2 linked regions of the Sus scrofa genome follow. The protein of the gene in region 2 interacts with the protein of the main gene of each other region in a biochemical or structural test. Links are inferred from orthologs where the notes say so. Each region holds a gene or a part of one and is shown on either strand. Other genes may lie near its edges.

Region 1 (12,042 bases), on a different chromosome or scaffold from region 2:
CACACACAAGGCCCACCCATCCCTAGGCTGCTGTGCAAACCAGGCCGACTCGAGAAGGGTCTGCCTCTTCCTTCACACCGTTTCCTAAATCTCCCAGCATCCCTGAAGAAGGAGGGTGCTGAGTGCCCCTGGCGAAGCTTCCAGAAAGGGTGGAGAAAGTGGTGCTGAAAGGACGGCCCCCCAGGTTGTCAGAGGCTCAGTGGGAACACCTGCCGTCACGTCCTTCCCGAGGTGAGTGGTCACAGCAAGGGAGGACCCAGCGGCCACGACACCGGCGACCAGCATTCTCCCCACGCGAGACACAGGACCCCCGGCCCGGAGGGCCCTCCCTCCCAGGCAGGCGCTCTGCTCCACGGCTCTGGGTCCCAGCGGCACAGCCTGCCCGGTGCCGACGTGAGACGTCTGGGCAGGACGGGCTCTGCGTGGCTCTGCCCAGGGCCTCTGCAAAGCCCCTCAGGTGACCCCACGTGGGGGCCAGAGCTAAGCACCCCCACGTGGACCAGCTTCGACAGAGCAGCTGGCCCCCATCCACGTGGACAAGGAAGGGCACAGGTTTCTCTGGGGGAGGGGCTCTGCGGCGCCCACGTGCCCTGCCCTGGCCGTGACCCCCGTGCGGGACCTACGTTCCTTCTCCAGAAGAGGATCCTGAGCAGGATGAGCTGCCAATGACTGGGAGTCACTCGTGCTTTGTGTCAGCAGCTTCTCAGGTTTGCGGTGGGGACAGTAGAGGGGGCGGCGGCTGAAGAATCCCCACCCTCCCTTCCTCTGGCCTCCGGGCACATCCAGGTCCATCACCGGGCCTCTCCTCAGCCCCACCCCCGGCTCCCAGGTTCAGGGCAGCAGGAGGCCCCCCTCCCCCGCCCTGCACACACACACACACACGCGTGTTGCTACGTGTGTCTGGCGCTCTTCCCTGAGCTGCAGGCGTGTCCAGGGGGCTTGTGCACTCACAGTGTCTGTGGCGGCTCTCCTGCGTGTCCCACGTGGAAATAAACTGATCGGCGAATAATGAAGCTTCAAGGAGCATCAGGGTTACAGTTATCTATCTGCTCTGAATATCTGGGACCGAAAAATTACTGTTGGCTTTGAACGCTGAGTGGTATTTTCTATTGAAGAAAAATTAAGGATCTATTTTAACAAATATCCAGAGACTGAAAGAGGTCAGATCATCAAACCAGCCCCTCGACCGATGCCAAAGGGCTGGGCAAAGTGTAAGCCGTGAGCCGTTCACCCCAGGCTCCAGAAAACGGTGCCCACACTTACGACACCAAGGTGGCGAGTGTCTGTCTCCAGGATGCCAGAGTTGGTCACAACCCGTCATCTTGTTGCAAGATTATTTCTTGGTCTTGGAGTTCAAATTACCTGACTCCTTCTTCTTTTATCAAAGAAGTAAAAGAACTATAAAAAGAAGGACTCTAGCGATCTCTATAAATTACAAAGCCACAACGCAGTATCTGTGAAACAAGTTGTCTACAAACAGGAGGGTTAAAAAAATATTTCAGTGAAACACATACACGTGTCTTTGTGTGTAAATGGTGGAACTATGAGGAAAGTATCTTAGTTTAAGGAAGTTTATTGTTAGGTTTTTGTAGTAATAGATGAGGCACAACTATCTCCTGCTTCTCCAACATCTCAATAAAAAAGACAATAATCAGGAGTAACAGTGAAATTAAAAAATACAAAAGCCTAAGGTTTTGGACAGAAAAATGACTATAAACTACGTGCAGAAAAACTGTAAATGGTTTTAGTTTAGCCTTGCAAAGAGTGACCTTCTTCTCTATGACAAATCAGGCCTTGCGAAGCTGCCTGCTCGGCTCGCAGTGGAGGGGCGGGGGCCCAGGCCCTCAGGCGTCCCACCCGCGTCCCGGCCCCTCAACAGCCGCGGCCTCCCCTCCCGGGGCGCGTCTGGGTCTGCAAGGGGACCAGCGCACGTGTCAGGCTGCTTCACTGACCAGGCTGAGCCCAACTGGTGGGAGAGCCGTTCCAACACCTCCGCCGGTTGCACGGATGGCGAGGGCAGAGCCACGGAGACGGTTCCCAGCTGGTGAGGGAGCCGGAGGCCCCCGAGGCCCCCGGGAGCCCCGGGCCCAGCCGGCAGGGAGAGCGCAGCTGCAGGCCCAGGGCAGGCCCTCGGCCCTGCCCCGACGGAGCCCAAGCGCGTTCTTTTCCCTTAAACCAGGGTCACTGGCCCTGAACCTGGAGCACGTCCTTTCGGTTTATGAAGAGCCACAGGAAGCAGGACAAAAACAGCAACTTTTCTCCAGCCAAAAAAAGAGCCGAAACTCCAGCAAACGCCGACAGGAAGCCTCGAGCACGAGAAAGGATTTCGTGCTGTCCCCTCGTTCAAACGCTGTGATAACAGGATGACTCAGAAGCAGGCCTCTTCCTCCCCTTCCTGCGGGCCAGCCTCCGAGGCCGCTGCTTATCTGCCGGATGAAAGCGAGCAGGACAGGCCCCAGGACACAGGACGGAACAGCGTGGCCTGGGGCCGGGGCCTGGGGATGGTTCTTCAACCACAGGAACATTCTGGTGCCACTTACAGGGGAAGTGTTTTCTCGTTCACTTGCTCAGAAAAGTCCTCGACAGGCCACACAGATTGTAGCAGAGGAACACCCAGAGGAGGCCAGTCTGGAAGGCAGCGTGTTTTTGAAACGGTGACAGACACCCGGGCAAAGCACCGGAGAGCAGGGTTTACCAGCTCGCAGCGACGTTCACAGCCTCCTGGAGTCTGACCCGGAGGAGACCACAGCCGGTAGTGTTTACCTGTCACGTGTGTGGTAACAGAAGCAACAGACTGGATCCGAGCTTTGATCCTCGGGCTGGCTATTGGAAGGCACCAGTGGGGTGGCAGTGTGGACAAAGCCGGATTTTCCGGGCAGCAGCTGCGGCCCGAGTGAAGGCTGTGCTGGCGATCCCGCCAGCTCCGGAGGCCCCCGAGAGGGCGAGGCTCCCTGCAGCCGCGCAGGTGCTGGGCGACGGGGAGTGACGGGGACAGAGGCAGTGCCCGCAGGGCCGAGGGCGGGAGGGTGGCCCGGAGGAAGCAGGCACCGCCGGGCAAAAGGGAGGGGGGCATGCACCTGCGTCCACACCTCCCACCCCGTGATCTGACGGGGCGGGAAGACAGCGCACGCAGGCTGTGGGGGCGTTAAGGCAGGTCTACACCCGCATTCTCGCTCCCCTGCTCTCAAGCCGGCGCCGGCGCTTCATCGAACAGCCGGGACCAGGGCCTCTCGGGAAACTGGCACAAGAGAGGGAAAGGCGGCGCCCTCCCTCGGGGAGGCCCCGCGCTGGGACCCAGCTCAGCCCGCACGCCCGGCACCTCCCGCGAGGCCCCAGCGGGCGACGCCCCTCCGCGGGGACGCAGAGCTGGAGAGGACCGGCATCGGCCTCCGCACAGACCTGGGCTTTGGCGGCTCTGCCACCAAGGACGGCGCGGGCGCGCGCAGACCCGCAGGCCCCGCCTAAGCTGCGTCCGAAAAGGAAGCGTCCGGAAGAGGGAAGCCGTGTTCTCCGGCGTCGCACGTTCACACCAGGGTGACCGCTTGGATCTCAGTAGTGTCACTCGTCCCCAGGACTCAGTAGCTAATGCCGGCGCGGCGCCGCCTTCGGCCGTGCGCGCGCCGGCGGGACGGAGCGCGCCCCCGGGGCCCGGGCCCGCGGCGCGGCCGCTCTCACTGCAGCATGATGTCTTTGAGGTTCTCCTGCAGGATGGTGTCCTTCACGGCGTGGAAGACGAAGCGGATGTTCTCGGTGTCGATGGCGGTGGTGAAGTGGTGGAAGAGCGGCTTGCTGCGGTTGCGCCTCTTCCGGTCGAAGCACTGCACCAGGTAGCGCTGCACGTCCTCCAGCCGGTGGGGGTCGCCCTTGAAGTCTGGGAAGTGCTTCTTGATGCTGACGGCCTTGACCTTCTCCACCAGGAGGTCCATCTTGTTGAGGAAGAGGATGATGGAGACGTTGAAGAAGAGCTTGTTGTTGACGATGGTCTCGAAGATGTTCATGGACTCCACCAGCCGGTTGGTGCACCTGTCCTCCATGAGCACCTGGTCGTACTCGCTGGAGGACACCATGAACAGGATGGACGTGATGCCGTCGAAGCACTGGAACCACTTCTGGCGCTGCGAGCGCTGGCCGCCCACGTCCACCATCTTGAAGGGGATTTTTTTGATGACGAAGTCGTGCTCCACGATGCCCTTGGTGGCCTTCCTCGCCAGCAGGATGTCCTGCTTGCTGGGAAAGTAGTTCTGCAAGACAGGACAGGGAGACGCTTGGGGGAGGAAGGTATGGCGGCGTGGGGGGGGGGGGGGATGCCGTGGAGGGAAAGAGCGTGGGGCTGAAGCGGACGCCAAAAGCACCTTTCACTCCCAGAACCCAGGGCGGGTGATCGGGAGCCTCCCTCTTGGCTCCTGCTCAAAAACCTCATCCCTTTCTTCCCCACAGGAAACTACCATCTTTCTCCCCCTGCACCATCGCAACCTTTCTATTTTTCTAACTCGCAGGGCACACGCATTCCAAAAGCTTAGTGTGAGCAGATTTAATTGAGGTTCTGCACTGCTCTTTGAATTTCGCCTGCCGTATATTTAATGTGTTTTTCTTGGGGAACTCTTACAGTCTTGAGCACTACGCCGGCAACCGCGGTCACGCAGACCGCCCTGCTCCTGCACCACCGACAACCCTCCCGCGGTTACTGCACACTGGCACTCACGCAGCAGCCCGGCCCCAAACCCAAGCAGGGACAGCGCTCTAGGACCAACCCATTCCCACGGTGCACGGGGGTGTGTGTGGGGGGGCAGAGAGACACCTGCATTAACACGGTCGGGGTGGCGCAGCAAAACCCAGATGTGAGAAACCCCACAGGAGAAATTGCCCAATCACTCCAACAAATAAAGCCAAAAAAAAAAAAAAAAAAAAATGAAGGCAGAAGCCTATGGATTAAAGGAGGTTTAAGTGACATGGACCAAATGCGATGATGGACCTTAATAAGAGGTTGATTCCAACTGCTGAAATACAGCAGCGTCCGCAAGAAAACACTTATGAATGAGACATCTGGGAAAAATCTCACAACTGACCAGATATTGGTTGATATTGAGGAACACTGCTAATTTTTTAGGAGCAATAATGGCATTGTGGTTGTGACTTTTAGAGTCTTATCAGTCCAGAGATACCCTCCAAAATATTCTCTTTTTTTTTGGTCTTCTTGTCTTTTTGCCTTTTCTAGGGCCGCTTCTGCAGCATATGGTATGGAGGTTCCCAGGCTAGGGGTTGAATCGGAGCTGTAGCCACCCGCCTACGCCAGAGCCACAGCAACGCGGGATCCGAGCTGCATCTGCGACCTACACCACAGCTCACAGCAACGCCAGATCCTTAACCCACTGAGCAAGGCCAGGGATTGAACCCGCAACCTCGTGGTTCCTAGTCGGATTCGTTAACCACTGCGCCACAATGGGAACTCCCCTCTAAAATATTCTTGATGAAGTAATATGATGGATTTGTTCCTGGGGGTGGGGTGGGGCTGAGGGAACAAGCCGGGTCAGAAGCGACAGGCACTGCATGTGGGGTTTCATTACACTATTTCTCCTTGTATACGTTTGCATTTTCCATGATGAAAAGTTAAAGGAGCTCTTTCGTTTACAAAAGAACTTCCGTCTCCATTTTTGTGCTCTGGGAGAAGGAATCCTTACAGAAACCCTACTTTACATCCGATTTAAGCAGGGACTCGAGGTTTCCCAGCAAGACGGTGAGGAAGAAGAAACCCTCGGCCCCTCCATCCTGACACAGATGGAAGCGGGAGCGTGGCGTCTCCACCGCACTCCTGGTCCCCAACGCAGCGAGGCTGGCTCTCGAGGGCGGCTTCCGTCTCCACACAGATGCTTTCTGACCCTCGACCACAGGCTCCTGGAGGGGGGCTCTTACTCACCAGCTGGCCAATCCGGTCCAAGTTATCCAGGAAATACTTCACCGATTCGCCCTGTCGTGGAGGAAAAAGATTCGCGACTCAGTCTCGGTTGAGGAACGCGGACGTGGTACAGGGAGAACTTAGCAGGGTCGCAAGAGTGCGGTTTTGCCTCTGGGTGAGTTGGAAGGCAAAGTGAAAGACTGAGAGCATGCATGGAATTTTAAAAATTAAAACCAATCCCAAGCATCCAGAAATGCCATTTCTCTAGCGGATCCCAAGGTTCAAATTCCAACTGTTTTTTAAAGTGTCCCCACTGGCTCCTGGCGACGGCAGGCTGCTGGCCCCTCCAACCCAGCTGACGCCTCCCTCGCGGATGCGGAGGCTGGCCCGCTGCAGGCCACGCCGCCAGGGAGCCCGAAGGGAGGACCGTGGTCCTGCGAGCAGCGCTGCCAGCGCAGGACTCCCGCACTGCTGGAGAGAGGGGACATCTCTGGCAAGAGACACAGGACAAAACATGCTCCAGTGTCGCCAGCAGGCCCTGCCACACATTTGTACAACCTGATTTACACTCTACGACAAGGGACGCTCTGGTCTGGACTCAGGGCTGCAGCGGCCCGTCTTCTTCAGCCCCCAGACGCGCTCGGGACTGGACGTGGACACAGACCCAGACGCTGGGTAGCTGGCAGCGACCTTGAGAATCACCCGCACTCCTGCACCCTTGGCGTTGTGGGACGCGGCTGCCCTCTCGGCCTGAGGACGTCAGCGGCCTCGGCCTGGATGGAGCGGCGGGGGACGGGCCTGCGGGCGGGCGCCGGCCTGCAAAGGCCGGACGTGGGGAAGGGGTTCTGACCGGTGCAGGGGACGCGGCTTTCTAGAGACTCCGCTGAGCCTCCTTCGGCCGACGGGACCAGTGGGGTGGCGCCAGGCTCTGGGGGCGTCGCCCAGGGAGCCACACACGCGGGCCGCAGAGGCCACGGCAGACCTTTCGGGGGGGGGGCAGTAGAAAGGAGCCAGGGTCCAGCTTGAGCTCATGACCCCATGAAAACAAGGTGAACAAAGACGGGAGCGGCAGCTCTTCTTACGAGGCTCAGGCCCCAAGGAAGCGGCCACGGCGGGAGGCCCCTTAGGGACAAAGCAGCCTTCGGGTTGAGGCCTGTGCGTGGCGCACAGACAGCCTTCTGCTTCAGGCCAGGGGACACTCCCCCTGGGCACGGACTCTGACTCGTGGCACAGTTCTCCCCCTTGGTGTCCGGCTCTGCTCCAGCAGGTCCAGGCAGTCAGAGGTGGGCCCAGGCAGCGGTGCCCGCATCCCCAGGTCCCCCAAGGCAGAGCCGCAGTCTGGCGTGGTGGCGGCAGCGCGCCCCTGCCCACGGCTGCCCTAGGCGCTCACTGCACGGCCTGCTCCTCCCACGACTCGACAGGACACAGCTGGTGGCGAAGCGCTGCTGGGGGGTGGCTGCTCGCCTGAGCTCTGGCTGCGTCTCCCCCCACAGGGCCTCCCCTCTCACCTCCTGACAGGAGAGCTTAGGAAGACTGAGGACACTGCCGGTGGGTCCAGGAGAAAAGAAAGTGGACAAGCTCCCTGGCGGCGGGTCTGCGCCAGACAGAGCACAAAAGGTCACGGCAACACATGCCTCAGCCCGTTCTGTCACTGTGATGTGGCAGATGTCCCGGCAACACGGGGGCAACCTTAAGCCCAACACACAGCTGTGGCGTGAAAAGCCCCAAGGACACAATTAAGGACAAGCTAAACACAGGCTCTCTTAAAAAAAGAAGGAATTATGTCCCCCAGTTTGACTTTAAATATTTCCAATACTGAGTCGGAAGTCAGGGTCACCCCAATGGACCTTAGAACGCAGGGGATGCTCATGCTAACGGCCTTTGGGGTTCCTGTGGCACCAGGATGCTTTAAGAGCCGCAGCAACCTGCTTCCCGACACCGGAGGTGCCTCGTGCGCGATGCCGCTGCACGGTCATGGCCACGGCTCTTTCTAAAGAGAACCCCGACGAGGACAGGGAGACATGCAGGGGACATGCCAGGCAGGGGACATGCCAGGCAGAGGGCGGGGCCGCTCTGCTCTCTGACTCGGGCGAGAGGGAAGGGGACAAGGAGGGCAGACGAGGAGCCAGCGTTCAAACCAGAATCGGTGGGCCAACTCCGCAGCCTCCGCCCTGCTGGCCGGCTGGGCTGGACGCGGCCGAGGACACAGGCTGTGCGGTCGGACCGAGGGGGCCGTCTTCCATCTGCAAGGCTGCCTACAGGATGGGCACGCGCCACAGGCTTGCAGCGTCAGCTCGTTCAAAGGTCGGGGTCACCCTTCTGATCTATCCTCAGCCCTTGTCCGAGAGGAGCGTGTGGGGCACAAGCCGAGATGCCAATGTGAAATTAACCACCCAGACTCCGCTGTAGACACTGGAACAGGAATGTCCGTGTGTGACCCCCTCCCCAGGGGCTGAAACCTAACCCCTGGGGTGGTGGTGTCAGGAGGCGGGGCCTTTGGGAGCTGCTTGTGTCTCGAGGGTGCAGCCTCATGAATGGGCTCAGTGCCCTTATTAAAGGGACCCCAGAGGGCTCCCTCCCGCCTCCCGCGTTAGGGCACAGTGGGAAGATGCTGTCTATGAACCGGGAAGCCGGCCCCGCCCGACGCTCAATCTGCTGGTGTCCTGACTTTGCAAGACCAGCCTCCAGAACTGTGAGAAATAAATGCTTGCTGTTTAGGTCTATGGTGTTTTATTACTGCAGGCTGAATGGACAAACACAGCACCTTTATAAAAAGAGTATGGAGTTCCTGTCATGGCGCAATGGTTAACGAATCCGACTAGGAACCATGAGGTTGCAGGTTCAATCCCTGGCCTTGCTCAGTGAGTTAAGGATCCGGTGTTGCCGTGAGCTGTGGTGTAAGTTGCAGACGCGGCTCGGATCCCGTGTTGCTGTGGCTCTGGCGTAGGCCGGTGGCTACAGCTCCGATTCGACCCCTAGCCTGGGAATCTCCATCTGCCTCGGGAGCGGCCTGAGAAACGGCAAAAAGACAAAAAAAAGAGTATTATGCGAGGCAAAGCGCCCTGAGGGTCTCCTGGTAGCTGCAGCAGTAACATGGTCTACAAAGAGGAGGACGTGGGAAATGGGCTTTTTATAGCCCTCCTTGGTTTGAAGAATCTCAATCACTTAAGATGAAGAAGATGGATTCATGGATTAGACCCAACACAACGAACACATGAGCTCAGGGGCCAGTGAGGCCACACTCCACATCCAGCCTGCCTCCTGCCTCCAGCCCCCAGCGAAGCTCCGGACGAGGATGCTGAGGGGGTCCAGGGGTGGAGGAGCCAGGCTGTCTGATTCAAGCGGCAGCAGCAGGTGCTGGAACAGATGGGCGCATGACACGAGGACAGAGGCAGGGCCCAGCTTATGTGCACGACGCCTTTTTGGCAAATGGACTCTGATCTCGGGCGCCATCGCCCACCCCTCTAGTTGGTGAAAGACACGTTCAGGCTCCATGCCGCCTTGAGGGATCCTGTCCGGCTGGTCAGACGGACGCTCCTGTGCTCCCGCATCCCAGAAGCTGCCCCTCAGGCCACCGCGCAGCCCGCGCAGGTCCGAGAGGACACAGCCTCAGCTCGTTCAGCTGGGAGTGAGCCCAGGCCGTCGAGACCGGGGCACGACGGGCTTGCTCTGGTCACACCTTTCTCTGGATGGGAATCCAGTCTCCCACACCTGGGTGAATTCTGGTCCTTTCTGTCAGTGTCACAGGGGAGGTATGAGCGTGAAAGAGAGCCTGCCTGGGTCAGGAATCACCAGCAGAGGCCCCACAGGAGAGGGGAAGGCGGAGGGAGGGGTGGGTCAGGCCAAGGGGTCCAAAGGCGGAGGCGGCAGAATTCAAGGGCCAGCGAAGGTTGAGGGGCAGCGAGCGCCGACACCCCCATCTGGCCTCCCAGGAGCCCTCCCTGCCCCTGGGCTCTGGGGAGCTACTTCTAAAGTTGTAACTCAGGGCTCGTCGAGGGCGAGCGGGACTGGAAAATCCAGTTCACTCATTTCAACACGACAAATGACAAAGACAGATTTAAAAACTGCTGTGTGTTAAAAACAACAAACTATCCCGAAGGTCAGATGCTCAGTTCCATGACTTAGTAAACAGCAAATTCAAGACTTTACTTCCACGTGATAGAGATGTTTGGTTAAAACAACCTGACTGAACAGAGTACTTTTAAAAATACTTCAAAAAGTATCATGTAATTCCCGAAAAGAAACTTTCACTGTGAACTCAGGCTTTGCTCAGTTAGAACCTGTGACATCTCCCTGGGATCCCGTGAGATTAAATGATATCATAGCTGTGAACGTATCTGGAAAAAGATAAAGCATCATATTAATATACATTATCGACAGTTCCTGGTGGTCTAATGGCTGAGGACACGGTGCTTTCACCGCTGCAGCCTGGGTTCAGTCCCTGCTCTGGGAACTGAGATCCCACATCAAGCCGCTGTACTCTGCGGCCCCCAAATTAGGTATGTGGGTATATACGTGTGCATGTATATATATGCATGTATCTGTGTGTATGTGTGTGTATATGCATGCATGTGTGTATATATGTATGCACGCACACATGTGTGTATGTGTGTGTGTGTGTGTATGGACACCTTAGAAAAATAAAGATTCTCACATTTTAATTTGGATGCCTACAAACTGTTGGTAATTATAATCCGAAGAAGGTAAAAGACTCACTGGCAAAATGACGGATGCACAGAGCCGGTGGCTGCAGCATTTGGGGACAAGCCAAACGTCCCTTGGGTAGAGGACCACGCAGCTGCGGAAAGGAACGAGGAGGAGCCCGAGGGACAGCCCGCTGGGGAGAGACTCCCACGCCGTCGGACGGAAGCACCCGAGGTGCAGAACGGGGGGCGTACTGCGCTTCTTTTGTCTCATGGTGAGGAAGCCAAATCCCACATACCGTGTGCTCCTATTTTCAGAAGGCAACACGGAAGATAAACCAGCAACCAGTGAAAAGGGAGAGCAACGGGGAGGGAGGTGCGGCCGGGAGGAAGCAGACCTCTCTGAATGTATTTTGACCCCAGAACCATGCAAACACTGTACATAATTAAAAATGCAATTGAGTTTTACAAAACCACCCCCCAGAATCGAAGGCAAACGGAAACCAACGGCTGGAACGGCCTATCAGGCTGGACGTGTCCCTCTGGGACGCCTTCCCCTCAGGCAGAGGGTTTGGACCAGCTCTCCCGCCTCCGCTGCGGGCCGTTGTCCGAGCTCGTGCTCCAGCCCCGTATCCAAGCGCCAGCCTCCGCCCAAGATCCCAGCAACGGCTGCCCCTTGGCCACGGTGGTGAGACCCAGGAAAAGGCCCAAACAGGCCCTGGAAGCAGGGCTGGCCTGGGTGTGTCTCCTGGGCCTGCACGATGGGGTGCGGCCCCAGGTCAGAGGGCCAGGCCCTCTTGCCTTTGTCTGCTTCTTAAATTGAGGTAAAACTCACACAGTAAAGTGTACAGCGCCGTGGCACCAAGCGCATCCCCCGGGCTGTGTCCCCCGCTCCTGAACCAGCTCCCGGCGCTTCATGCCCAAAGTGGGCCTTGCGCCCGCGAGCAGTTAGCCCCGTTCTCCGACCAACCCCTCGGTGCGTCTCACGACGTGCCCCTTTGGAGATTTCCTACACATCACAGTCTGACCCGAGGACTGGGCTTGTTTCACTCGGCATCACGCCCTGGAGGTTCGCCCGTGTTGCGGCCGCTGCCGGGTCTGCATCCCTTTCCAAGGCTGAGAACAGGCCGCCGTGCGGCTGGACCGTGTCGTGTGCATCCGTCGGCGCGCGGATGGAGTTCAGATTACTTCCGGCTTCGGCCACTGAGACGAGCGCCGGGGCACTCACGCACACGTCTTTGTTGGAACACCTGTTTTCAAGTCTTGCGGGCATACAGCCACCCGGGAGTGGAATTACGGGTCACAGGGTCATTCCACGTGTAATTTTTCTTTGTTTTTTGGCCACACCTGTGCCCCGGCAGCAACTCGAGCTGCTGCGGTGACAGCGAGACGCCCATGGTGTTTAATTCGCCAAGGAGCCGGCTGCACGGGCTCAGTCCATCAGCCAGGAAGAGAGGCTCCGGTCCGCCCCGACCCTTGCTAGCTTCCGATTTTTAAACTGTAGCT
Region 2 (12,042 bases):
AGGTCCCGTAACAGGGGTCCGGAGAGCTCGCTCTCCAGTTCCAGTCGGGGCCAGACCCCTCCCAGCTCAAGGAGGCGCCTGCCCTCCATCGCAGAGATCCGGCGCCAGACTCCCAGAGAAGTCCCCCAACACACACACACACACACACACACACACACACACACTTTCAGTTCAGACGTCAGACTCCCAGAGAAGTCCCCCAACACACACACACACACACACACTTTCAGTTCAGACGTCAGACTCCCAGAGAAGTCCCCCAACACACACACACACACACACACACTTTCAGTTCAGACGTCAGACTCCCAGAGAAGTCCCCCAACACACACACACACACACACACACACTTTCAGTTCAGACGTCAGACTCCCAGAGAAGTCCCCCAACACACACACACACACACACACACACTTTCAGTTCAGACGTCAGACTCCCAGAGAAGTCCCCAAACACACACACACACACACACACACACACACACACACACACTTTCAGTTCAGACGTCAGACTCCCAGAGAAGTCCCCCAACACACACACACACACACACACACACACACACTTTCAGTTCAGACGTCAGACTCCCAGAGAAGTCCCCCAACACACACACACACACACACACACACACACACACACACACACACACACACACACTTTCAGTTCAGACTCCAAATCCCCCCAGCCAGATTCCCAGAGAAGCTCCCCAACACACACACACACACTCTTTCAGTTCAGACTCCAAATCCCCCCAGCCAGACTCCCAGAGAAGCCCCCCAACACACACACTCTTTCAGTTCAGACTCTGCCCAGGAGGCCCTGGGAAAATGCCCCCAGCCCCTCGCGGCCCCCCTCAGATGCCTTGCTGACCTTCCTCCAGTACTCCCCTGCCCCCCGAATCCTCCTCCTGCCCTACCTGAATCCCCCCATCTGCACCCCCACACTCCTCGCGCCCCCTCCCCAACATGGTCCTCCTATGTTACTCTGCCTCCTCCCGTCCAGGCTCCCTTCTCATCCGCCCCTAAATGCTCTCGGTCCATCTCAGTTTCTCCCCACATCACACCGAGCATCCTCTCTGCCGCTTCTGGCCCATTCCAGACCGCCTTCCTTAGCTCAGAAGGTCCTCCCTGCCCCCCTCCCGACCGCACCCCCTTACACTTGTCCCCTTCCAGCCTGTTCTGGGTCCAAGCCCCACCCCGCCCGCTTTCTGGACACCTCGGCCTTAGCCTGGACACCTCCCTGCTCATCATGTCACCTTTCTATCAAACTCCTCGCAGTCTAGCCTAGAATCTCAAGAGAAGATTCAGCCCAGGATGCTTCCCATCAATCCCGGGCTTCTTCACCTCGGACTCAGGTCCGCCCAGCCTGGCCCAGGCCTCCCTCACTCCTCCTGAGAGTCCGGCAGGGTCCAGGCCCTTGCTGGTGGGGGGGTGGGGGGCGTCACAGGCACAGCCCCAGGACCAGAGGGGCAGGGCTGGGGCCGGGCCTGGGGTAACGTTGTGTTTCTCTCCCCTTCCTCCCTTCCTCTTCACCCCCTTCCTCCCACGCCTCCACCTTGTTTCTCTCTAGCAAATCCCAGTCTCTGACCAATGCCTTCAACCTTCCAGAGCCAGCCCCGCCCAGGCCCAGCCTTAGCCAGGACGAGGTGAAAGCTGAGACCATCCGCAGCCTGAGGAAGTCTTTCGCCAGCCTCTTCTCCGACTGACACCCCACCCCGAGAGCCCCCACTTCCCTGGGCAGCCCCCGTCTGGGCCCTGAATCCATTTCTCACTTTTGGAGTCTCACCCCTTGAGAAGCCCGCTCCTGGATCGCCCAGACCCCTCTTCTCACTCCTCAGAAAGCCCGAGTCCCTGGGGAAACCTCGCTCCTGGTCCTAAGTCCACTTCTCACATTCGGAATGCCCATGTCCTTTCAAAAGCCCCCTCCCGCTCACCCCAAGCCCTACTTCTCAGTTTGAGAACCTCAGCATTCCTGAAGACATCCACTCCCGGTCCCCCCCGAGTGCGTTTTCCTTCCTGGAAGCACCCAAACTCCAGGCAACCCCTCCTGGAGCCCTGAAATTCCTGGAAAACCCCACTCCTGGTCACAGATGTCTCCAGCACACCTTGTTCCCCATCAGAATTTCCCCAATCCTTAAAATCCTTAAGAAACCCCTCCCTCTGAGACCCCCTCTGTGACCTCCCACTGCGGGAGATCCAGCTCTTCAAATGCCCCCCGCCCAGCCCCACAAGGATTTCCCTTGGACACCAACCCCCAACCCCCGGCCACCCTACTCAACACACTGGGAGCTCCTCCCACTGCTAGGACCCCTCGGTGCCCCAGGGACCCTAGCCCCACTTTCCTGCCTCTGACAGCTGTCTTTAAATATGCAAATCCCACCCAACCTCCCAGAATCCTTTGCACACAGCGGGCCAGTGGTCCCCCACTTGCCCACCTTTGCCGTGGTGTCTGTGTCTGTGACTGACGTGGCCTCCTCTCGTGCCGTGCTTGGCATATGTGGTCCTCGTTCATCGTGCCGCCTGTGGTGATGCGTGCAGTGGCGCTGTTTGTGTGGTCCGCACCTACCCCCAACCTCCACTCCTTGCCTGGACTCACCCTCACCCCTCAGCGGCTCTGAACCCCACGAGAAGAGTCGGGAAACAAAATAAACAAGCAAAGGCCCAGCAGAATTCTGTGCTTCTTGGTGAAGAAACAGGGGAGTCCTTGAATGGTGAGGGAGAGACAGAGGGGACCCCCCCAAATCCACACGGGGTGCTGGGGACCCCAAAATCCAGTGGAAGGCACATCAGGCACAAATTCCAGAGAGGCTCGGAGTGGAATCCCTGCCACAAATCCCAGCCATTGGAGATGGAGGAGCCCCTGAATTTATAAGTATCCCCAAAGCCAAGAACAAACCCAATTATGGAGGAGGCAGGGGTCCCAGTCTTTGGGGGGTCCCCCAATTCCAGAGGAACTGGAAAAGTACATGGGGACCCCCTCATCTCCCAGGGCGGGGATGGGGGATCCTGAGGCAGTATCAGGGCAGAGACAGAACATTGATTGGTTGGTGGGCAGGGCTCCTTGGCGTGGCAGGCTGAGATTGGCTCCCTGGTGGCTGGGGGTGGGGCCTAAGGCACAAGGCGGGCTGCGCTGAGTAGGCAGGCAGGCAACTCATCAGCCTGGGTTCGGTGCAAGGAGGGTTCCGAGGCACTCCGCTCAATCTTGGGGAGTGACCGCTGCAGCAGCTCAATCGTGGCCAGGATCTGGGGGCAGGGGTGGGTCAGGAGGGGTGTCCAGAGCCTCATGGCCACTCCGGCAACCCCAGGCCCCAGCCTAACGGGGAAACCCCCCCCCCCACCCACACACACACAACCTGTACACCTTGGAGCCCTGGAGAGAGAGAGAGACACACACACACACACACACACACACACACACACACACACACACACACACCTTGGAGCCCTGAAGACACACAGTTCACATTCACACCTCAAGAGCCTTCCTCCTCAGAAGCTTCCTCCCCAGGTAGTCCAGCCCTCCTCCTTGGCCCACCTGGGGGAAGAGGGGTCGCTCCTCCCGCTGGAACTTGAGGCAGTCAGACAGCAGGCGCCGCATGGCCTTGGGGCAGTTGCTGGAGATTTTGCTGAGGTCCGGGGACAGATAGCCACGGCCCACCATGAAGATAATCTGGCGGGGAAGGGCCAGAGTGAAGTGACCCGGGGATCGAGGCTGAGAAGGCCAGGAAAATCTGGGTCTTGAGGGACTTGGGGGGCTCCTTTTTGGAGAACTGGGGCATTCTGGGTATGGGAGCCCGGAGGATGGTGGGTATCTTGTGGAGCTAAGGATTCTGGGTCTCTGAGGACTCGGAGGGATTCTCTGCTGACAGAACCGAGGGATTTAAGCTTGGGGGAAGTCGGGGATTTAAGTGTCCAGGGCCCAGAGGATTAAGGGCTCCACAGGTTTCGAGGGTGCTCAGGGGCCTGGAAAGCATGGAGTCTGGGGGAAACACGAAGTTCTGGGCTTGGAAGGACCAAAAGGACTCTAGCCCTCAGGAGCTTGTCTTTCCCTGGAGGACTATGGCTCCACGTGGCCTGGCGGACTTCAGGTGCACAGGACCCAAAGACTATTGGTACCTGGAGCCTAGAGGACCCTGGGTTTCTGACCCAGGGTCTGAGTGATTCCAGGGCTTGAACCTGGAGAACCCTGAGTCTGGGGCCTAAAGCACTTTGGCTTCCAGGACCCCCGCCTGCCAGATACCCATGGCCTGAATGGTTGTGGGTATCTGAGGATTTTAGAAGCACAAAGGGATTGTTTCTGGAAGAAATGGGAGTCTGGCCTTTGGGGATGTTTGGGAATTTTGAGCACCCAGGCCAGACCACTGTGCATCTGGACTCTGGGAGCTGGGGGGGCCCAGGGCAATTCTGGGTATGGGAGACCCAGAGGATTCTGGGAATGAGAATTCCCAGAAAACATGAGAAAACATGAGAAGCCCAGAAAACATGGGGTCTCCTGATCTGTGCGGAGGAGATGCGAGGTTTGGAGGCTGAGGGGATGCCCCGGCGTGGGCGATGGCAGGTGAGGTGCGGGGCTCACCTGGTCACGGCTGCCAATGTGGCTGTAAGGCAGCGAGCCGGTCATGAGCTCGTAGAGCACCACCCCATAGGCATAGACGTCAGACTGGAAGCTGTAGGGGTTCGGGTCCTGCATCCGGATCACCTCAGCCGCCTTCAAGAGGCCAGACCAGGCAGGAGGAACAGGAGGTCAGCAAAAGATTGGCCCGGAGGCCCAGATCCCACTCGCCACACTGGGTGTAACGCAGAGCCACACACCCTGGGGCGAAACGTGAGCTGTCCAGACACACCCACACTTGGCCCAGGTATCCCTGTCCCCACTTGGCCTCCCACATCCTCGCCAGCCACCCATGTCCCCACGTGCCCCTACTCTAGCCAGGCCCAACTCACCATCCACAGCACGGAGCCCGAGGGCTGCTCCAAGGGCTGGGCCCCGCTCCACCGCGTCTTCACTGTGGCCAGGCCGAAGTCCCCGATCTTCACCGTGAGGCCCTCGTGTAGGAAGATGTCCGCCGGGGTCAAGGATCACCACTGCGACTCGCCCCGACTGATGCCTCCGCACCAGTCACGCCGCTCCCCTGACCAGAAGCCCCCCAGTGTCACACAGACTAGCCACGACCTGGACTTGGGTGGGGAGCTCCAATTAATGTCCCCTACGCTTGCCCCCTCACCCCCCACCCCCCGCATCACTTCCTGACCAGGAAGCTCCTCTAATGGCACCGACACCCACCACGCCTGCAACACGGATCAGGAACTCCCCATAATGCCCTCCACAACGGCCACCCCGCAGGCCCTGACCAGGGTCCCCAGAGGACAGCACTGGAACTGGCCACCACTCTGACTCCTGTGACCCAGAGACCCCCCCCCCCATTAGAGGCCCCTCGCCAGCTCCAGCTCTGGCACCTGGCAAAGGGAAATGCCACCTGAGTGCCCCTTCTGTTCTCCCCCAGAAAGCCTCCCCATAAGAGCCACCCCTCCAAGCCCTCCTGTTTGATGCCCCCCACCCCAGCCCTTACACAGGGGCAGCTGGATACTGTTAGACTTGAGATCTCGGTGAATGATGTTCTTGGCATGGAGGTAGCTATGGGGGGTAGAAGCAGAGGGCGGATTGTCTGGAGGCCACCTCATCTCCCCACTCCAGCAACCCCCCGACCCCTCCCTAGTGCCCGGGCCAGGCCGCTCACTCCATGCCCTGGGCAGTCTGCCGGGCCACATCGATGAGCTGGACCATGTCGAAGCGTGTGTCGGCCACGTGCAGGTGGTGGTACAGACTGGAGCCCTCGCACCACTGTGTGATGATGGCAAAGCCGGGCCGGGTCATGAAGCCCATGAACAGCAAGATGTTGACGTGCCGCGTCTTCCTGCAGGCAGGGCGGGCGGCATCAGGGCAGGGAAGGCAAACGGCAACTTCCCGAGCATCGAGCATCGGGAAGGGCGCTGTCCACTGCTCCTTCTGTCGTCATTCCCACCCTGTCTTTTGGGAGGCACAGGGCCAGACTGTGGCCAGATTCAAGGCACTTGTGAGTGACGTTTGCTGGGCTATGATTCCAACCTGGGGGCTCATGCCCGGAGCTTCCTCATCCAAGTCTCCCAACAAAAGCAGGAGGGAGGGATTACCGCCCCCACCCTGACCCCCTACTGACCAGGAGCGAGTTCATCACAACACCTGCCACCCCTCTGACCCTGACCATGACCTGAGCCTGTGACCATGTGATGAGGCAAGATGAGGAAGTGGACTAGCAACCTCCTCCAGTGATGTATCAACATAATATTGATATGTGCTGGGTAAAAATATCAGTGGGAGTGCCTGATGAGGTGCAACGGGATTGGCGGCAGCGCTGCAACACGAGGACGCAGGTTTGATCCCTGGCCTGACACAGTGAGTTAAGGATCTGGCGTGGCCAAAGCTGTGGTATAGGTTGCAACAGTGGCTTGGATCTGATCCCTGCCCTGGGAACTCCATATGCCGCAGGGCAGCCGAAAAAAAAAAAAAATCAGGGACGTGTGATCATATCCTGTTAATCATGAGAGGCTTAGAGATAAAAGAGCTTGAGGTTTGGGCTCAGATTAGATCCCATGTTCCAATCCTGGCTTCCCCAGGTACTCACTGTGCAATCTCAGGGAGGACAAGTAACCTCTCTGTGCCTTGTTTTCCCCAGCTAAGACTCTGTGATAATTATATGAGCTACCCGACAGGGGTATTGGGAGGAGAATGTTGAATAAATAACCTGTACGGTCCTTAGAACAGCAGAACACAAGCGAGCACCCTGACAATGCCACTGTCCTTGCTGCTATCGCTACTGGGTAGCTGGGACTACCTCACAGAAACCCTGTCCTGTGTGAACAGAGCCACCCTCATTTAGAAGAAAACCTTCACTCTTCATAGAAGCATTAACTACAGTTACATTGGTGACATAAACACAAGGAACATCAAGGATGCTGCTCGATTTGCTCACATCAGAGTGGATAACCATGCTCTTTACAGCAGTCAGGTTATGGTTTCCTTTTTGTTTTTTGTTTTTGTTTTTTTTTTTTTTTTGTCCTTTGTCTTTTTTTTTTAGGGCTGCACCCGCAGCATATGGAGGTTCCCAGGCTAGGGGTCGAATCCGAGCTGTAGCCGCTGGCCTGTGCCAGAGCCACAGCAACGCAGGATCCGAGCCGTGTCTGCAACCTACACCACAGCACACGGCAACACTGGATCCTTAACTGAGCAAGGCCAAGGATCGAACCCGCAACCTCATGGTTCCTAGTTGGATTCGTTTCCCCTGCCAAGACAGGAACGCCTCGATTTTTTTTTCTTTCCTTTTTTGGCCACCCCACAGCATATGGAGTTCCTGGGCTGGGGATCAGCTCCCATCCGCAGTTGTGACCTACGCAGCACCTGCAGCAACGGTGGATCCTTTAACCCACTGTGCTGGGCCGCGGATCGAACCTGTGTCCTGGAGCTGCAGAGACGCTGCTAATCCTGTTGTGCCACAGTGGGAACGCCTCAATATATTTTTTTTGGCTGCACCTATGGCACACAGAAGTTCCGGGGCCAGGGATCTAACCTGTGCCATGGCAGCAACATTGCCAGATCCTTAACCCACTGAGCCACTGGGGAGCTCCTCGATATTAACGCAGGGCAAATTCCCAGCCTGCTCAAATCACTGCCATCTCACAGAGGGGAGCAGAGACTGAAAGTTTTCTTACTGTGGCCTCCACTGTGAGGCTGAGTATGAAAACAGCCCAAGGAAGTATGATGATAACATCCACTCTGTAACATAAATGTGCCCACTTGTCCAGGGAAAGCCGACACCAGCAACCCCAGGGCGGGTGGTAACTAGGGTGGCCAAACGGGAGCACCAGGGTTTCTCAGCACGAATGAACTAATACAGTATTAATGATGCATTAAGTGGAGCAATGACATTCATTTACTGGCCCAGGAGTCCATTATGGTTCTGATTATGCCTCTAATACTGGCCTTTGAGGTACGGTACTGCTGGAATTAATAACAAGGACGCAACGCAATAACCATACTCATGAGGCAGGACAAGCCCAGGAGAGGGAAGGATGCCAGCCGGCCTGGTGATGTGGTTTAACTCGCATTATGCTGTTACTGTAAGGACACGCAATGACGTTACTGATGGCCTGTGGCCATACCCATTTCACAGCGGGCAAACGGAAAAGACCCACACTTTGGAGGCAGAGCCGCTGATGAATATCAGTCATTACCTCCGCACGGACAAGAAGATCGTGAGAGGTCCTCTAAGCATACCTGCTTCCCCGAGGGGAAAGGGACTTCCCTGATAGAGAAACGGCTTACAGCTGTGGTTAGGACACAACACAGACCTGGTGGTGGAGGGGGGTGTCTGCCGGAAGGGCCCCCAGCTCGGCCCTTCCCCAGAGGGGCACCGAGGCCGTGCCCGCCGCCCTCGCCCCCCAGCCGCACACGCGGGCCATCTCACCTGAGCACTTGCATCTCGTTCTTGAAGGCCTGGGCCTGCTCGGCTGTGGGCTGGGCCACCTTGAGCACCTTCACGGCCACATCGCCATGCCACCGCCCGCGAAACACGGTGCCAAACGAGCCCGTCCCGATCCTCTTCAGCAGCTGCACCTCACTGGGGGGCACCTCCCAGTAATAGCCCGAGTCCCGGTACCCCAGATTCTTCTGTGGGCCACATGGGTGGCATCTCAGGGGCCCGCCCACGCCCCTTGTCACCTCGGCCAGCGGTGCCCCCACCAAAGGTGCCCCCTGGGGCTTACCACTTTCTTCTTGTCGTCGGCCAAGGACTTCCGCTCCCGCTGCTCAGATGGCGACTTGGAATGTGGGGACTTCCTCCCCGAGGACACGCTGGCTGGGCTGGGGCTCCCCCGGGGGGCTCCGTCGCCACCACCTCTATTACCAGCAGCTGCGGGTGTGGAGAGGCGGTGAGTGGCCCCGGGCGGGACGGGGGTCGAGGGGGGGGGCTCAGTAGGGGTGTGGGTGGCAGGGAGCGGGGGGGCGCTCACCATCAGTGTTGAAACTCTGGGCAGTGAGCTGGAAGAAGAGGGCCGGGAGTCAGAGAGAGGACGTGGAGGACCACGGGGGCGGCCCTCCCCTCTGCCCGGTGCTCCCCCCCGGTGACCGCCCGCCTCGACACCAACCTGGACCAGGCCGGAGTCCATGGGGGCGGTGGTGCTGACCATGTGGACGTTGGGGGTGGACGTGGAGCGGATGCGCTGCAGGGGGGCATTGGCCGGGGCAGGGAAGGGGAAGTGCTCAGGGTCGCGGTGCTGGGTGCAGGAGCTGGCAGGGGAAAGGCTGTGAAATCACTGTCGAGGGAATGAGAGAACCAGCAGAGCAGCCCCCCACCCCGTCCTGAGTGTGTGTTTAGCTCACACGGCGTCAGTGTCCGCTGTGATTATACTACTATTCGTCTGTTCAAGAAGCGCTGACTGCGTGCCTGCCCCGTGCCAGACACCACTCTAGGTAGTGGAAGGAAAGCTATGGGCCCAACAAATAAAGGTTCTTGCCCTCATGGGGCTGACTGCAGCAGGGAGAGGGAGACATGAAAAATAAAGAATATTTAGGAGTTCCGTCGTGGCTCAGCAGAAACCAATCCGACGTCTCTCCATAAGGACGCGGGTTCGATCCCTGGCCGCCTCGCTCAGGGGGTCGAGGATCCGGCATTGCCGTGAGCTGTGGTGCAGGTTGCAGATGCGGCTCGGATCCCGCGTGGCTGTGGCTGTGGCAGAGGCTGGCGGCTACAGCGCCGATTCGACCCCCAGCCTGGGAACTTCCATATGCTACGGGGGTGGCCCTAAAAAGCAAAAAAAAAAAAAAAAAAATTTAACATGATCAATCATGACAGGTGCAATAAAGCAAAAAATAAAGCAACATATGGAGACAGAAAGTGTCACTGGTTGTGTCAGGAAAGGCTTCTCTGAGCAGGTGACATTTGAGCAAAGACTTAAAGGAGGGACAGCCGGCCGCACAGAGAGTGGGGGCAGAGCAATATATATCATATAACTGCCTGTACTATTCAAATTTGTGTGCACCATACAATGTACAGTATGTTCTCTATATTAAAACGGCAATGCTTCTATATAATAATGTTCTAGCTGATACACCCATTCAAGTATGTTATACATGATATATATCATACATAGTTTCAAAATATTTAATGCTCCCTCCCTATCCTGAAATGCAATTAGAGATAATTAATTCATATAGGCCCCCAAATTAAAAATCCCTAACTTTACAATTTTACAGATTACATAAAGTTTGGTGTTTGACATCATATAAAAACATTACAAATATGACACACAATACAATGGCATAAAGACATCATACAGATGCTATAAAATATATAGGCATATAAAATGCGTATTATATAAGCTTAGGATATATTAAGGCAATAATATGCTTTGATATTGAAATACTAGAGTATAATACTTAACACAAAGGAGAAGTGAAAAGGAATTTATGGTAAAATAACATGTATTTCAAAATGGAAGGGCCTGAGCATGTTTATACTGGAGGAATTAATGAAGTGGTTAGTATACACATATTTAACAATAAGAACTTATTATCTTGTACCAGATCTTCTTGTAAGCACTGGACATGTCTTTTTTTTTGTCTTTTTTGCCATTTCTTGGGCAGCTCCCGCAGCATATGGAGGTTCCCAGGCTAGGGGTCCAATTGGAGCTGTAGCCGCCGGCCTACACCACAGCCACAGCAACGCGGGATCCAAGCTGCGTCTGCGACCTACACCCTGGCTCACGGCAATGCTGGATCCTTAACCCATGGAGCAAGGCCAGGGAACGAACCCGCCACCTCATGGTTCCTAGTCGGATTCATTAACCACTGTGCCACGACGGGAACTCCGTAAGCACTGGACATGTCTTAACTCATTTACTCCTCACCAGACCCCCGTGTGATCAAAGTGTCACTTTCCCCTCTTTACAGATGAGAAAACTAAGGCCCAGAAAGATTAGGTGACTTGCCCAAGGTCCCACAGCTCCATGCCCTCAACCCCACTTGTAGGTGCTCAATAAATGTTCATCAAGTAAACAAATGAATAAAGTATGGCTTGTGGTCCACAGGGGCCTCCAGATCTTTTTCTCCTGACAATAGCCCTTTGGCTAAGGCATCCCCTACCTGGGACCCTGAGGGGTTAGCGGCTCATTCAGGGGGCGGTTCGAGGGAGTCTCATGCTGTCTGGAGCCTCCGGACAAATCCTGGACACTGTGGTAGAACCTTGAGGGCATTGAGGGTGTAAAGCGAGGGAAGATGGGTCAGCTGGCTGTACGAGCCTTGGGGCTGGGCCTCTGTCCTCCCCACCCCACCTGCCCACCCACCCCAGGCCAGGCTCACTGTCGGCGATTGGTACTCATGTCGACACAAACTGTGGGGACCTTGGAGGAACAATGCTGGTGGAACTTGTATCCACAGGTTTGGCAGCGGAAGCCATGGAACAGAAACTTAAGGCAGAAGTCACAAAAGGCCAGGCTGAAGAATGTCTTCCGTACCTGCCGCCACAGAGCAGAGACGGTTGATGCCTGGTCAGGGACCCTCCCGCCACGTGCACGGTCTGCCCCCGCTCTCTACCCTGCACTCACAAAATTGTGCATGGTCAGGGGGACATCTTCGAGGACCTCCACAATGAGCTCCTCGCCGTCCAGGGGGGCAATGGCCGTGTCCCAGGCGGTGACTGTCTTTCGCCTGCAGAAGGCATGGAAGGGAGTGAGCGGGACGGTGGACAGGGGCCATGGGGGAGAATGGAACCCCCAAAAGTCCCTCCAAGCCCACCATCCATGGAGTAACAGGTGACATGTGTCATGCTCACCAGGGCAGCTCTAGGAATCAGTACTATGCTTTCCCCCATTCTGCACATGAGGAAATAGGCTCAGGGGGACGAAGTGACTCGTCCAAAGCCACAAGGGATTGGGAGGGGCAGGACAGCAGGAAGAGTCCTTGCTCTTCTCTTAACCACACAATGAGGAGCAAATGAGACAGTGAAGAAACAAC

The links.
Region 1: the proteins of ARAF (region 2) and GNA12 form a complex in vitro, tested with the Homo sapiens proteins (2 studies listed by BioGRID). The link is inferred for Sus scrofa from reciprocal best matches to the Homo sapiens genes ARAF and GNA12.

What each region holds. Positions count from the first base shown.
Region 1 is NC_010445.4:2,001,801-2,013,842, forward strand, and holds the end of GNA12 (guanine nucleotide-binding protein subunit alpha-12), read right to left. Parts: intron 5,966-12,042; coding exon 5,915-5,965; intron 4,242-5,914; coding exon 3,672-4,241; 3' UTR 694-3,671; downstream 1-693. UniProt on the Homo sapiens protein: Guanine nucleotide-binding proteins (G proteins) are involved as modulators or transducers in various transmembrane signaling systems. Activates effector molecule RhoA by binding and activating RhoGEFs (ARHGEF12/LARG).
Region 2 is NC_010461.5:42,080,866-42,092,907, reverse strand, and holds the end of ARAF (serine/threonine-protein kinase A-Raf), read right to left. Parts: intron 11,737-12,042; coding exon 11,634-11,736; intron 11,544-11,633; coding exon 11,389-11,543; intron 11,272-11,388; coding exon 11,173-11,271; intron 9,319-11,172; coding exon 9,177-9,318; intron 9,070-9,176; coding exon 9,042-9,069; intron 8,942-9,041; coding exon 8,796-8,941; intron 8,701-8,795; coding exon 8,498-8,700; intron 5,912-8,497; coding exon 5,735-5,911; intron 5,632-5,734; coding exon 5,585-5,631; intron 5,060-5,584; coding exon 4,941-5,059; intron 4,705-4,940; coding exon 4,573-4,704; intron 3,667-4,572; coding exon 3,532-3,666; intron 3,240-3,531; coding exon 3,105-3,239; 3' UTR 2,662-3,104; downstream 1-2,661. Other genes in the region: SYN1 (synapsin-1), read left to right, coding at 1,567-1,702. UniProt on the Homo sapiens protein: Involved in the transduction of mitogenic signals from the cell membrane to the nucleus. May also regulate the TOR signaling cascade. Phosphorylates PFKFB2.